Caenorhabditis elegans: one gene and its partner. The protein of the gene in region 2 interacts with the protein of the main gene of each other region in a biochemical or structural test. Each region holds a gene or a part of one and is shown on either strand. Other genes may lie near its edges. The genes, in order: npr-22 and flp-9.

Region 1 (7,335 bases), 4.2 Mb from region 2:
AGAATGCACTTGGGTTTTGAACTTTTTTAAAAATTATTCAACAGCTTTCTGAATCTGTCTTGTAATGTTTGAAACCTGATTGTGAATGAAACAAGAGTGAAGTAAAACAAAATAAATTTTAAGTTCGGAGAATTGATTATAAATGTTTATCTTTTTTTCTTTTTTGAAGGTGGATGTGGAGAAGTTGTCAAAAACCATTCCTATGATGCCAAAATGTTCAAATACAACTTTTCAAAATAAAAAGTGTGAAAATTTTTATTGACAGTTTAAAAGTGGCAATTACTGAGTTTTTGCCACTTTTTGCCATAGACGACTTCCAAAAAGCGAAGACTTTTCCAAAGTTTTGAAGCTTACTTGACATGAATGTTTTCTTATTTTCAGTCAACTTTATCTTGTTTTTTTCACAACATCGCACTACATCCAGACACATTTCTGTTGACTCAATATTAATTATTTATTATTTATTATTCATTTTGCAAGGATGTGGTGTTCTTATTCCTATTTTTATATACTTCTCCTTTTTCTTTCAGAAATTCTAGAAATTATTTTTATGCTAATTGAGATGTACATTTGAGACATTTTCATGCCGTGATGACGTAATCTATCTGAATCTTGAGATATCTATGTACATTCTTGCTAATAACGTGAAAGGTGTCATATGTACTGAGGTCTACCTTATCATTTCCTGATTATAACATCATTGAAACATATTTTAGACATATTTTAATAAATTTCAGTTTTTTTTTGTCCTATCTGGTCAATAGTTTTTTCTACAAAAAAATAGACAAATAAGAATTAAATTCAGCTAAAATTATTGAGATATAGTGTTGAAGAATACGATAAAACGACGGTAATCTTTCATTCGATTAAATTCTAGAAACCAATCGCGTATCCAAAATCTTAAATTTTTATAATTAACAGTTAGCTAGAGTTTCTTTATTGGAACATACAATTAGCACAATACAATTGGAAAACTTCGGTTTAAAGAATCTGTAACAATTTTCTTTTACTTGATTTTGTTCAAGTTTCTCAAGTTTTAGCACGTGCTCTAACCCTGCAATAAAAGTTTGTACTTTATTCAAGTATTCATATTGTACTTGTACTCTATCGTATGATCATATTACTCATGTCTAAAACTTCGGTAGACACGCATTTTTCCAACATTTTTCTTCCATAAATTCCTGTTATCTTGCAAAGTTCATTTGTAAACTAATACAACACATGTCTGGCTGATTTGACCTTTCTCATTGAAATTGATGGATCATGTGTCAAAATGGGACCACTACAGATCACTAGATACTACTATCACTATATCACTATTTAAACATGGCAGATTTCAAGAAAGTTTGCCACATTTTCAGATGAAATCATCTTATTAATTTTGATTTCGAAAACAGATATTAGCAGCCTACCTTCTGGATTTTTCGGTTACAATGTACCTATTTATTAATCAAAAACTATCACTTCTGCATTTTGTAATCATTCCCCAATCATCCTTGTGCGAAAAATAGGATAGTTCTTCAAGTTTTTCCCTTCCCTATACTTTTGCCATATATTTTTTTAATTCCCACTGGACTTTCCCAAAAGAATTATTTTTCGAATATACCACACTTTTAACAAATTTTCTGGATTCGGAAACATTATATTTTTTTTTCTACAAAACCGCAAAGACTATAGTCATTTTTCGAGGTCAACAAACATCCAAATATCATTGCGAGCATCCTATGTTCCTCTAATTCTCTCATACTTTGCTTCCGAAAACCCAAGAATCACAAAAAAATCTTGTTTGATCTTTGCCTTATTTTTCCAACTGCTAATTGACCTTCTTCGTTTATATAATTTTTCACTTTATAGAAATTTACTTTTTAATCAATTTCAAACAACAAAATTTGATACACTTTCTTAATATTATCCTTCTCCTACATTCTCATAAATTTGAAGGTTTCTCTTTCAACATTTCTGATCTAAAAAATGTGCGAGAAAATACATTCTTGGTTTCTTCATATTCATTTATTTCTCCGAAATATGTTCTCTTTTTCTTTGTTTTTAATTTTCGGTTTTCTATGAACAAGTGGTCTTCCTTATTTGGAACACTTCCCCAAACTCTTTCCGAATAAATTGTTTTAAATTTCAGATCGAACGATTCGTCATCTAATTCGTGAGCAAATATGGACGAAGGAGGGGGTATTGGAAGCAGTTTGCTCTCCAGAATCACGACGACAGCCTCTGAAATTATGATGCGAAACGAACCGACGACAACTGAAAATCCAGCTGTTCAAGAAATGAATCATATTTATCATTTGACACCAAGTATGAAGGTGAGACTTTTAAAAAATATTCTTATACATTCAAAGTATATCTAAAAATCCAAATTTTACAAGAGTTTTGAAACTTTGAAAAAAGGAACTAAAATTAGTTTTTTTTACATTTCATATTTAGGCAATTTGGCCATGTTTTTAGCCAATTTTACCTGCTGAAAATTGATTTTAACGTGCCATGTACTTTTATTTTAGTTAATTTATGATAGCGTTTTCTTCAAAACTTGAACCGTAAATAAAAAGTTTTGAAAATTTTTCAAGTGCTATCATTATTAAAATTCGGTATAATTTTTAGAGGCCATTTTAAGTGTAAAAAATGAATAAAATTACTACATTATTACCTTTAATATTTGTACCTATTTATTACTAATTTTTTACAGATGTTATGTATTCTTTTCTATAGTATACTTTGCGTATGCTGTGTCTATGGAAATGTGCTCGTTATTCTGGTTATTGTTTATTTTAAACGACTTCGAACGGCGACTAATATTTTGATATTGAACTTGGCAGTTGGTGGGTTTTGTTACTTTTGAATTTTTGAAAACTTTTTATAATTTTTCAAATCTCCAGAACTTATATGAGCTTCTAAATGGATAAGTTTAAAAAATTAATTAATCTAAGATGTTGAGCAAATTTCCCAAAAAAACAACTAAAATTGCAGCTGATCTTCTCATATCAGTATTCTGCATTCCGTTCAGCTATTGGCAAGTATTGATTTATGATGATCAACGTTGGCTCTTCGGCTCAATGATGTGCTCTTTATTAGCATTCCTTCAAGCAATGGCTGTATTTTTATCAGCTTGGACACTTGTCGTTATCAGTTTTGATCGGTGGATGGCTATAATGTTCCTTTTAACTCCAAATATTCGAATTACAAGACGAAGAGCTCTTTATCTGGTAGCTGCCACGTGGATATTCAGTATCCTAATGGCGTTGCCGTTACTCTTCACAACGAGATTTTTCGAAGACCAAGACGGTTTACCGAATTGTGGAGAAAATTGGACGTATTTTGGAGATTCTGGAGAACAAGTGAGAAAAGTGTATTCTTCAATGGTCTTAATTCTACAATATGTTGTACCTCAAGCAGTTTTAATAATAACTTACACACATATTGGAATTAAAATGTGGAATAGTCGAGTACCAGGAATGCAGAATGGAGCAACAAAGAAAATGATCGTTGATCGACATGAAAGTGTCAAAAAGGTGAGATTTCTGGAATTATTAAAAATTTAAGCCTAACCTTTCAAAAACTCCCAGTTTTGATTTATTAGAATAATAAGAATATGGAAATAATGCAACAATCAATGGCTCCTCAGTGCGGTGATGATAATAATAACCATAATCAAAGTCAACCGACCCCTATATTTATAGGAACAATATTCTCATGTGTAGCATAAAAATAATAATCAAAAATCGTTTTTGACATAACCTTTTCCAAATCATTATTAAGTGAAACTTTAAAATTGAAAAAAATTAAATCAAAGTTCGAAGTTATTACATTTTACCTGCCTATTACATGACGGTTTGATAAAGTTGTTCAGTAGATTGAAATATCGTTTTTACTTATTTTTATCAAATACAATAAATATTACCGCGTGAGAAACGAAACCTGTTAATTAAATAAGATTTTTAGCTGGTCCCAATGGTGATTCTCATTTCGGCACTCTTCGCACTTTGTTGGCTTCCTTTACTTATACTGATCAACGTCATTCCAGAATTCTATCCAGATATCAACAGTTGGGGATATATTCTGTATTTGTGGTAAGAAATATTCTTTTAATCTGACTCAATAATTTGGTTTTAAAAATCGCATTTTGAGGTGGTTTGCTCATGGACTTGCCATGTCTCATTCAATGGTCAACCCAATTATCTATTTCATTCGAAATGCCCGTTTCCGTGAAGGATTCTGTTTCTTCTCTTCAAAACTTCTTCCATGTATATCATTTAAAGAACTTCGTCTTTTAACTGATAATACTAGCAGAAGGTATGTCAATTTCTACAAAGTTGTCTGTTTTTGAATTGAAGCCAAGAGTTAGGAGCAATTCAGTTTATTTATGTATCAACCTTATTTGTTGATAACCAGTTTGATAATTTTAATAACTCAACAATATCATTCAGTTTTCGAAACCGTTCACGGTTTTCTGGTGTCATAAATCCGACTTCAAGCGATGAAAAACCTGCTGTAAGGATGTTCTCTAACCCATGTTTTTTGTCCTTCTTGACTTTTTGTTTGGCTTGGCTTTTTTATTTTTACATTTTAAAGTTTATTTTGCACTGCTTCACATGCACTAATATGTTGATTAAGTTAATTTCATTTTAAATTATGAGTATATCGTATTTCCTCTTTTAGTATTGCACACCATTGTTCAACTTTGACAGTGTATATCTCAGTTATCATTTGTTCCATTTAAAAATTGTCAACTAACAAAATATTTTTTAGTTCTTTTTCTATAATTTCGTAGTTAAAGATATAATGATATATTCAAAATAAACCGATATATAACGTTACAAAGTAAAGTTGTCCGGTGCATTACTAAGAGAGGAAATACGGTACGTTAAATTAGCAAAATTAAAAATCTTCTAAGTCAGCCTAGGTCGTTCAGCGCAGTTAATTTGCGATGGACCCATCAGAATCCTAGAGCAGTGATTTATCTACACATCGTCAAAAAAATCGGACATTGCGCATACTGCGACTCGTAAGCTGCCTATAATGAGCACATTGAGCCAGGATTGCTATGAAATCATTGTGCTTGTTTACTGAGTCATTATGTGCCTGTCGCGAATTAACTGCGAACTAAATTTTGCCACCAAATGATAGAGGGAAAACCCCTACTACTGAGAAAGTGTTTGCCGATGAAGTTTAGCGAAACCTAGAACCATAAGAACTTGTAAGTAAAACTTTAAAAACAGTTTTTAAATTCAAATGCTTTACTTCTAAACCCTTTTTATTAATTAAACGCCTCAATTATATCCACTGCCTAGTACACATTTTCCAATCTGATTATTTCCACAACATCGACTTTCTTCCTAGCCACAACCTAATTTTCAATATTTTCAGACATCGCTTACGAGATATTCACGAAGTGGAGTCCTTGACAGGCAAACATGTCGTTCGGCACGTTTCTTCGAAGCCCGACCACTCGTCGTCGTCCGAAACAACTCTGCCAATTCTCTCGCGTAGCTTTTCCCGTATCATTAAGAAAATTGATCTACCATGTACTTGAGTGGAAAGCTATAGAAGACCATAGATTCAAGGTTTTTGTTATTTGAAATTGTATTTTAAAGCATAATTTCACAAATTATGTTTATATTCCATCCATTTTATTGTATTGTAAGAAAAAACCCCTCAGATCTCCTAAGAAACAATTTTATATGAAACATCAATTGTTGTCTGAAACGCTTTTCATACCGGTAAATACTCGCCCCACCAAATCCACGAATCATCACCAATATTTTAAACTTGTACCATACAAATTGCGTGTTTTCATTTTATTTGAATATTTTTTCAAAACTAAATGTAGAAATAAATGTTAGAATACTACAAATTTACATCTGACAGATTTAAAAGAATCCAATGAGTTGACTGAAATTTTGTAAACTGGCAAATTACTGAGCAATTCAGATAAATATTTGATTGATTTCGGTTTCAAGCTTGTAGTTCCACGTGTGAAGGTTTATTTACAGAGATTCGGCATTTGTCTATTTTTAGAAGGGATGCATTTTCCGTGAATTGTATGCAAGTATTTTATTAAAGAAAAATGAAATAAGCAGTCTTGATAGGCAGACACTTATATTTAAAGTATATAGTCACTCCAGAAAACAGACAAGAAAACAATCAAAGTGAACAATTTTTATGCATTTTCATTCAATCTTTATTCTTCAATTTTCTCATACACTTCACAAAAGTAAAGCATATGAAAACCAAAAAACACAAAACACCGTCAGCGACTTGTTGTATGCAGAAATAAATCAGAAATGATTGTCACTTATCCCTTTGTGTTGAGATGTTGTGGCGCCTTGTAAGCCAACTCGTGGACTCCTCCATTGTACAGCTTGGCAACGATTCCGGAACGAGCAGCCGCGAGCCAAATAGCTGAAGCTGAGAGTCCGATTCCGCAACCAATGACAACGGTGTCTCCGACTTTGATTCCCTTGGCGGCGAAGGCTGGAAGTATTCAGTTAACTTCTGCAAATGATATCAACTAACCTTGATCACAATCAGTCTTCTTCTTGAATCCCTTGGCAGCACAAACTTCTCCGATTGGGAAGTGAATCGCATCCTTGCAACGAACACCTTCGGCTTTCGAGTCTGGATATCCAATTGGAACTTTTCCGATAAACTCTTCCTTCGAACGAGCATCCAAGTACTTGATACTAGCCAAGTTATCGAATGGAATATCAGCCATCTTGGCAAGAATGTTGTTGTCGACCGATTTAGCTTCATAGTTTCCAGATGAGATCATGCTCTCACCGGATTGAACGACACCTTGGGCAAGTTTGAATGCTTCAATACCACCGTTCAAGACAGATACGGTAGTATAACCATAGTACTGGAAACACAAAGAATTTAAATTTATTCTGATACATTTTGAAACTAACTCTGAATGTCCAGTAAGCACGAGAAGCAGCAGCCATACCACCATCTTTTCCACGTCCATAGATGACCAAATGATCTCCGTTGAATACACCCAATCTCTTAACATACGACGAGAATTCCTCTGGAGTGTACAAAGTGAACCGCTCATTCTCCGATGGATAGTATGCAATGTCAAAGTTGAAGTGAGCAGCTCCATTGATGTGCTCGGCAAGGTACTCAGGGTTCTTCAACTCATTCATTCCAACACCAAACTTGTTGTAGTACTTGGCCTTGTATTCGGCAATATCGGCTTTCGGCTTGAAGGTCCACGAGGCGTCAAGGATGCGGATGTTTCCAAAGTTTTGGACTACCCACTTCGGCTCGACAATCATATCCACAGCCATGGCTCTTCTTTCTTCAGTTGGTTGATAATCGCTGTTG
Region 2 (6,686 bases):
TATAAAAAATAAATTCGGAAGGTATGTGTGTGTGTGTGTTTCATATTTTCATTCTCGTTTTCATATCGTGAATTATTCAAGAAAAGGAATCGGGTAATGACGGAATATGTGCTTTTATCCTTTTTTGAACGACTTTTGCTCTTTCTAAGCTTTATGTTTTGTTCAAATAATCCATCTTATAGTAATCTTTTTCAAAAAAGCTAATTTAGATTTTTAACGATACTTGAGATAAAGATGTTCTGGTTTAAATGACACCAAAACACCCACACATGTATCAAGTATTGTTTTTCCCAAGTATTCAGAAAGAAGTCATCCTTAAAGTGTGTAAAACTTTAAAGTTTGCTGATCATTAAATTCCCGCGCGAAGGAATATTGTTAGGTATGAAACACGAAAGGGGATATTCAAAAAATAATAATTATCTAGAAATACAATTTTTCCTAAAATGTTCAAATAATTACAGGCATCACTGAAAGATTGAATCTATTTTTATTTGAGCACAAAACTGAGAACCCAATGCAACGATAGACACAAAAATTTGGAAAAAAAAGTGTGTGCCTTTAAGGAGTACAGTAATTTCTTTTGCAGTAAAAAAACTTTTTTTTAGACATTTCGCAATGCAATTTTCTAGTTCACCATGCTTTAATTAGGTTTCCAGACAAAAATGTATAAATGGAAACTACTGTACACCTTACATTTAAAGGCTCAAACTCTATTTCGCTTACCAATGAGCGATGCGTAAGGGGCGTTGTCTCTGTCGCTGATTGGTCGACGCTTTCTGTTCTGCGCGGGAGTTCAGATTTTTCGATTTTTTTTTCTCAAATTTTCAGTTTTTTTCAGTGAAAAGCAAACAACTCAATCTTTATGTTTTGTTGAGATAATCCTTTATAATAGCAATTCCTTTTGAAATAAAAAAATGATAAAAATTTCCTGATTCAAATGGCACCAACGCACACACATGTAACACATTTTATTGCACATATCAACATGAAAACTTGATTTTTTTTTGATTTTCACAAATTCTCAGGTTACCATAAAAGTTGAAGAGGGGTAAGGGGATGGGAGAGAAGAATGAATGAACGGTATGAGGGCCAGAAATCTAGATGGGAACAATCGAGAAGAAAACGTAGTGAGCAGCTGTGTGTGAGAGAGAGAGAGAGATCAAAAATAGATCCAAGATGTTTCCAGAATAATCAACAAGACATATCTATCTACTTTCTTCCAAATCGAACAAATGATGGCTTTCTCTTGTCCATACGCATTTCCTCGTCATCAATTACCAGCGGGTATCCTGAACGTTTTCCGAAACGGACGAACGACGGCTTCCGCTTTTCCATTCGGACTTGCTCCTGCAAATTAGAAAATTCTTGAATTGTTTAGATAAATACAAGAAGTTATAGGTTTGGTGGCAGAATTAATATTTTCTCATTATCAGTTGTGGGGAATTCCGCAATTTTTAGACGAGACGTTTTTATTTATTTTTGAAAGTCACGAGATGACCATTTTTAGTTTTTCTTACGATTTTTCAAAAATTATAATTTTAAAACTTCCTTTAACTGAAAAAGCAAATAATATATAACATTTTCAACGGCATTTCTGATCTAGAAACGTTAAAAAATGTAAAGTAAGGCTCTCGAAAATAGTGTGTAAAAAATAATGTTTTAAAGGCGCATACACTTTTCGTAGCCTCCATTAAAACATTTTCTGTCGCGTTGAGGCCGTTACCATATTCTTATTAAATTAAATCATAATTTTTCTAATTCTATAACATGAACTTTATAATTATTCAGTGCTTCTAGTCACAATTTAACATTTCAGAGAAGCGTGTATTTTTGGAATTTATCAATTTTTGAGGAGCTCCTTTTCTTATTTTATTCTTAGATGTTTTTCTCCCCAATTCCGAAAATGTGCAAAAAGTTATTCAGTCGAAAATTTTCCTCAAAATGTGTTTTTTAGAAGATAAATTTCATTATTGAAACTTCAATATATCCCGCTAAAATTTAAAAAAAACGAAACGCCGACCAATCAGCGACGTGCAAAAGGCGTGACCAAGGTCGCTGATTGGTCGGCGCATTTATTGAGCGCTAATTTGAATTTTTTGTAAGTAAAATGGAATTGGCCATAGTTTTAGAATAGGACATTACATTTGAGTTTGTCTTTAATTTTCAAAAAATTATTTCAAGAATATAGAATATATTAATGTCAATGCGACCGTGGCCGCCAATATCTCAAGGTCCCAGTATGACGTCATCATTCTCACCTGATTAATACCGATTGCGTGCTGAGTGGCGAGTTGTGCAATTTGATCACAGTACTTTCGATTCGATTCCTTTCCACAGAACTCGGCGAGTGCATCCAAATCTGGCTCCTGAAAAATAGAGCTCAAGTATGTATGTAATTTAACATATTCCCACGTATAATCAACGCCGCAAATCTACACCCGCCGCACCAATAAAAACTAATGAGATTTTTGTCGTCGAGCAGTAGCAGGAGCAACCCGTGAGCCCTGCGATCTCCCAATAGGGTATGTCTAGGTTTTCTTACGGATTTTTGTTTTGTTTATTCAATCAATTTTAAACTTCTCGTGACTTTGAATGATGTCATCATCACTTTAATCAACTTTTTGTACGAAAAAGAGATAGAAGAATCTTAAAATTTGATTTTGAACGGTAGACTGAGCACAAGAGCATCACTCTGAAGCATCGAAAGCAGCAAAATAAAAGGAGAAGGGTGACGACGAAGAATGTAATCCTTGTGCTCATTAGTGGCTCACTTTAACATTTTCAAAGTATTACATAAAACGGATGTTGCTACTGGATGAAAATAGGTGTTGAAACTATAAGGAAGTTATAGAATATGTAAACTTTAAGTTGGTTAATGTAAAGGCGCGGATATCCACGTAGGTCAAAAAACTTCGAAAAAATTCGGATAGCCTGGTGGCATTTTCTGAACAAATCTCAAATTTCTAAGTTCGGCCGACAACTGCCCGGTTCCGCGCCGCACTATTTTTAACCTCTTAAAACACGCATGCTTTATAATTTGGCGCGAAACCCGGTAGCTGTCGGACCATGCTCATCACACCTAAATTCTGCGATAGGGGTAATAACTTTTAAAAATGGTAAAAATGGGCTTCCAAAAATTAATCATCGCGACAAATTATTAGGAAAGTGGATGACGAGACGAAGCCCTAGAATTTCGAATTTCGTTTTTTTTTCAGCTATTTCGTTCCAGACTCAACGTTTCTTTGAAGAGAAATAAACTAATCTTGTGTTTGAAAACAAATATTCTATTCGGGCTATTAAAAAAATAAAATTCACAGAATTCAGCTTAAATTGAGGTATGTCTTTTGCCCCAAAAATGTTAGCCATTTTTAAAATTTTAATGACCATGTTGGTCCAAATTAGGCTTACTTATTAGACTTTCTATGTTAGAAATACTGTTTTTTCAATGTAAGCCTAAAAATGCAAACCATTTCCACGGGGGCAGGTATATTACACAAGCACCTTCCAAAATTTAGGTAATTAACAGACATGCAGGCACGCCTACATTTGAAAAATAGGCAGGATTCGCCTACTGTTAAAAATTCAAAGATACACTTGAAAGTCACTTTGAAATTTATTTACGAAAACACATTTTATAGGTGGCGCCTTTTCTATTATTTTGCACACGATTGGCTTCATTTCGAGCCTGGTGGCACAGGGGGGAGGGGCACAAATAATATTTTGTTCGTTTTTCGAAAAAGTTGAACCTTCCGCTTCAAGAAATTCAGCACACAAATTTTAGAAGCGGAAAGAAATATGATCTTAGATTATTTATATTTTTCCGATCTTAACTCACCTCATAGGCATTTGCCATTGCTGCAATACAGGCGACAAGGAATAGTGCATAAAATTGATTCATTTTTTTCTTCTTTGAAACAAAAAATGTTTCACCCTTCTTCAGACGATGCTGCTGGGTTTTTCTCTGGAAACGAGACCAGAAAAAGAAGTGAGCCTTGATGGGGGCGGAGTCCTGAGAGAGAATGGAGAGCACACGTATGGGCGGAGTCTGAGCACACACATACACACACATTTAAGAATGACGTGTGAGCACTTTGAAGACTCGAAGTGATAATGATGGGTTCGGTAGGTTGGGGGCACTTTACTATGTAGATTTATTTGAAAATCAGGAAGTATTCAGGGAAATATGGTGGTACTGTAGGAAGTATTTAGGATCTACTTTATATTGAGATTTTGAAAAAATCGTAGTTCAAATTGTAGGAGGAATAGGAAAGAAAAATGGAATTTACCGGTATAAAAAAAACTTTTTAAAAATCCAAAAAATAACATAATTCTTCAATTATTTTAAAAATCAGATTTAAATAATCCTCTAAATAGTCATAATCTTTTTGGACAATACACCTTTATGGGTTTTGTTATTGAAAACATTTTAAAGATTGGTCGTCACAAAGCCGTCTTTCAAGTCCTTTTTAACTGGCCGCCTCGCGCCTAACCGTCTTATATTTTTTAGGTGCTAAATATGTCGCGGAAAATTTTTCATGATTTGATAAATGGAAAAATCGGAAAGATATTTGGAAAATGTACAGTGAAATTATAATTTTTATGGAAAACAGGAGAAAAAACTCGAAACCGAAATAAAGAAAAATTGATTAACGCAAATTTTTCCATGTGCCGAGAATTCGAAAAAATAGCAAAAAACTCATTCTAAAATTCACATGCAAATGGGTAAAAAACGCGAGAAAAATATAATTCTTCTAAAAAAATCTTTAAATGTAGCCAAAAATTTATGGTATTTCTCGACAAAATGAAATTGCCTATGATGACTTTTTAATTTAGTTTTTTCTCTCTCAGAAGGACATTTTTTGAGCAGATCACCCACACATCTTGCCAATTTGCTCAAATTTCTGCAATATTTTTGACAAGATCAATTTTCATGTGTTTTGTTTCAATGAGTTCTCGTTTTCCCCATTCTAATAAAACAAATCAGAAATATATAATTGAAAGTCATTAAAGCCCACGTAAATAGGTATATACTCACTGAAATAGAAATATTTGGTAATACTGCTCTAGGAACTCGTAAAGAGATTTTTTTTTGTGATTTCAGAAACTAATCTAAATCGCATACGATATTTTAGGAAACCTGGGATTCTAAGAAGGTATTCAAAATATAAAATCTTACAGTATTTCTTGAAAACTGACAAAATTGCAAAGGCAAGAGCAAGCCTATATGTCGACTAAAAGACAGGCAGGCGGGTCCACTTGAAAGAAAACCGACAAACTTTATTGTTCCTAATGTTAAAAAATCTAATTTCGTAACAAAAAAGTTAACTTTTTAGTTTTAGATATAAAAAAATGTGCCCAATGCCAAATACCAATATTTTCTCTATTATCAGCCTTAACAAAATAAAGTTATTTTGATCATTTTTTGAAAATAATAGCTATTCAGATTCAAAACCAAAAATATCTTCCCGTTACACCTCCCTCTTTGAATCTCTTTATTTGGGTATTCAAAAAAGAAACCTGAAAGTTTATTCAATTTGAATATGAAGTTCTACTCGTTCTGAGTATTCATTGAATTCAGGTGGGAGTTCTGGTGGGTGATTGAAATGAAGTGCACGATGATTGGAATACAATTCAAATTTTTTATGTGAACTAGAATTTATTAAAGAGTAACAGATGTTCTCAAATTTTGACCACAAAAAAATAGTGTATTCCGAAAAATTTCCAGCGGGAGCCCTAAAATATGAATCGAAAAAAAAAACGAAAAAATTTGGCTAAGCCAATAAGCGGCGGGACTTCTTAGGAATTTTTTTCGCGGGAGACGGATAGATAAAGCTTCAACAATTTTTTAAAAACATAAAGTTTTTCGATGTTGGGATTTTGTTATAAAATTTCAGAAAAAGATCCGATAAAAGTTCAGCCGTGAAATCAGAATTGAAATTTCATTTTAGTTTTTTACCAGCCTCGCCTCACTCTAGGCCGGAAATTACCTTTAAAAAAATTCAATTAAATAATAAAAACACAAAATATACTGATGGTTTAAAATATGTGACAATACATGACACACAAGATTACCGTTAAAAGGGCGAGTGAGAGACACCCTCAAAACGCTTCAGCCGTTAACATGCCGATTAGGAGGTTTGCAAATCAAAAAATATTCCCATTTTTGCAAGAAAGAACAATGTTGCATGTCCTTGTCGAAAATACGAGAAAATGATGTTTCTTGTTCTCCTCCTCCTCCAGCTGCCCCTACTCTTCAGTAACAAACCCATAAAGCCAATGACAAAGTGTCTTCAATTTTTCATTTTGAACTCCTCTTCTATACTCCGTTTTCGAGTAGAGAGCGGTTGGTACTAATTTTGGAAACACGGAACATTTTTTCCTTCCAAATATAAAAGTGATGTGCGTGTCCGTCCGGAAGAGAGATATTGTTATTCCGCACCGGAGAAATCTTTATGAATAGGGGGAAAAGAGTTAAAGGCGTGTTCCATTTTTTAAGAATTTGCAAAGCTTGAAAGTTTTGAAATTCCGGGTAAATATAACGATCACCAAACTATTACAGACATGCTAGGATTGGTCAGCACTCTCTGCAACAGACCAATCAAAGATTTACAAGGGGCGTGGTCCATGTCGCTGATTGCTGGGAGCACTCTGCTGTGGACCAATCACAGATAACTGGGATCGCTGAT

What was found.
Region 1: of the proteins of flp-9 (region 2) and npr-22, one has a biochemical effect on the other in vitro, tested with the Caenorhabditis elegans proteins (one study listed by BioGRID).

The regions. Positions count from the first base shown.
Region 1 is NC_003282.8:8,557,300-8,564,634, forward strand, and holds npr-22 (Neuropeptide receptor 22), read left to right. Parts: upstream 1-2,132; 5' UTR 2,133-2,168; coding exon 2,169-2,318; intron 2,319-2,698; coding exon 2,699-2,831; intron 2,832-2,979; coding exon 2,980-3,521; intron 3,522-3,951; coding exon 3,952-4,079; intron 4,080-4,137; coding exon 4,138-4,302; intron 4,303-4,436; coding exon 4,437-4,500; intron 4,501-5,376; coding exon 5,377-5,499; coding exon of another isoform or gene 5,500-5,542; 3' UTR 5,543-5,862; downstream 5,863-7,335. Other genes in the region: mpst-6 (thiosulfate sulfurtransferase), read right to left, coding at 6,305-6,483, 6,526-6,868, 6,918-7,298. UniProt on the Caenorhabditis elegans protein: Receptor for the LURY-1-1 and LURY-1-2 peptides which control food-related processes including feeding, lifespan, egg-laying and roaming behavior. Receptor for flp-7 which stimulates serotonin-induced fat loss.
Region 2 is NC_003282.8:12,753,605-12,760,290, forward strand, and holds flp-9 (KPSFVRF-amide 2), read right to left. Parts: upstream 3,967-6,686; 5' UTR 3,899-3,966; coding exon 3,836-3,898; intron 2,367-3,835; coding exon 2,259-2,366; intron 1,348-2,258; coding exon 1,210-1,347; 3' UTR 954-1,209; downstream 1-953. UniProt on the Caenorhabditis elegans protein: FMRFamides and FMRFamide-like peptides are neuropeptides. KPSFVRF-amide: Has no effect on somatic body wall muscle, inhibits contraction of vaginal vera muscle, and inhibits the activity of the dissected pharyngeal myogenic muscle system.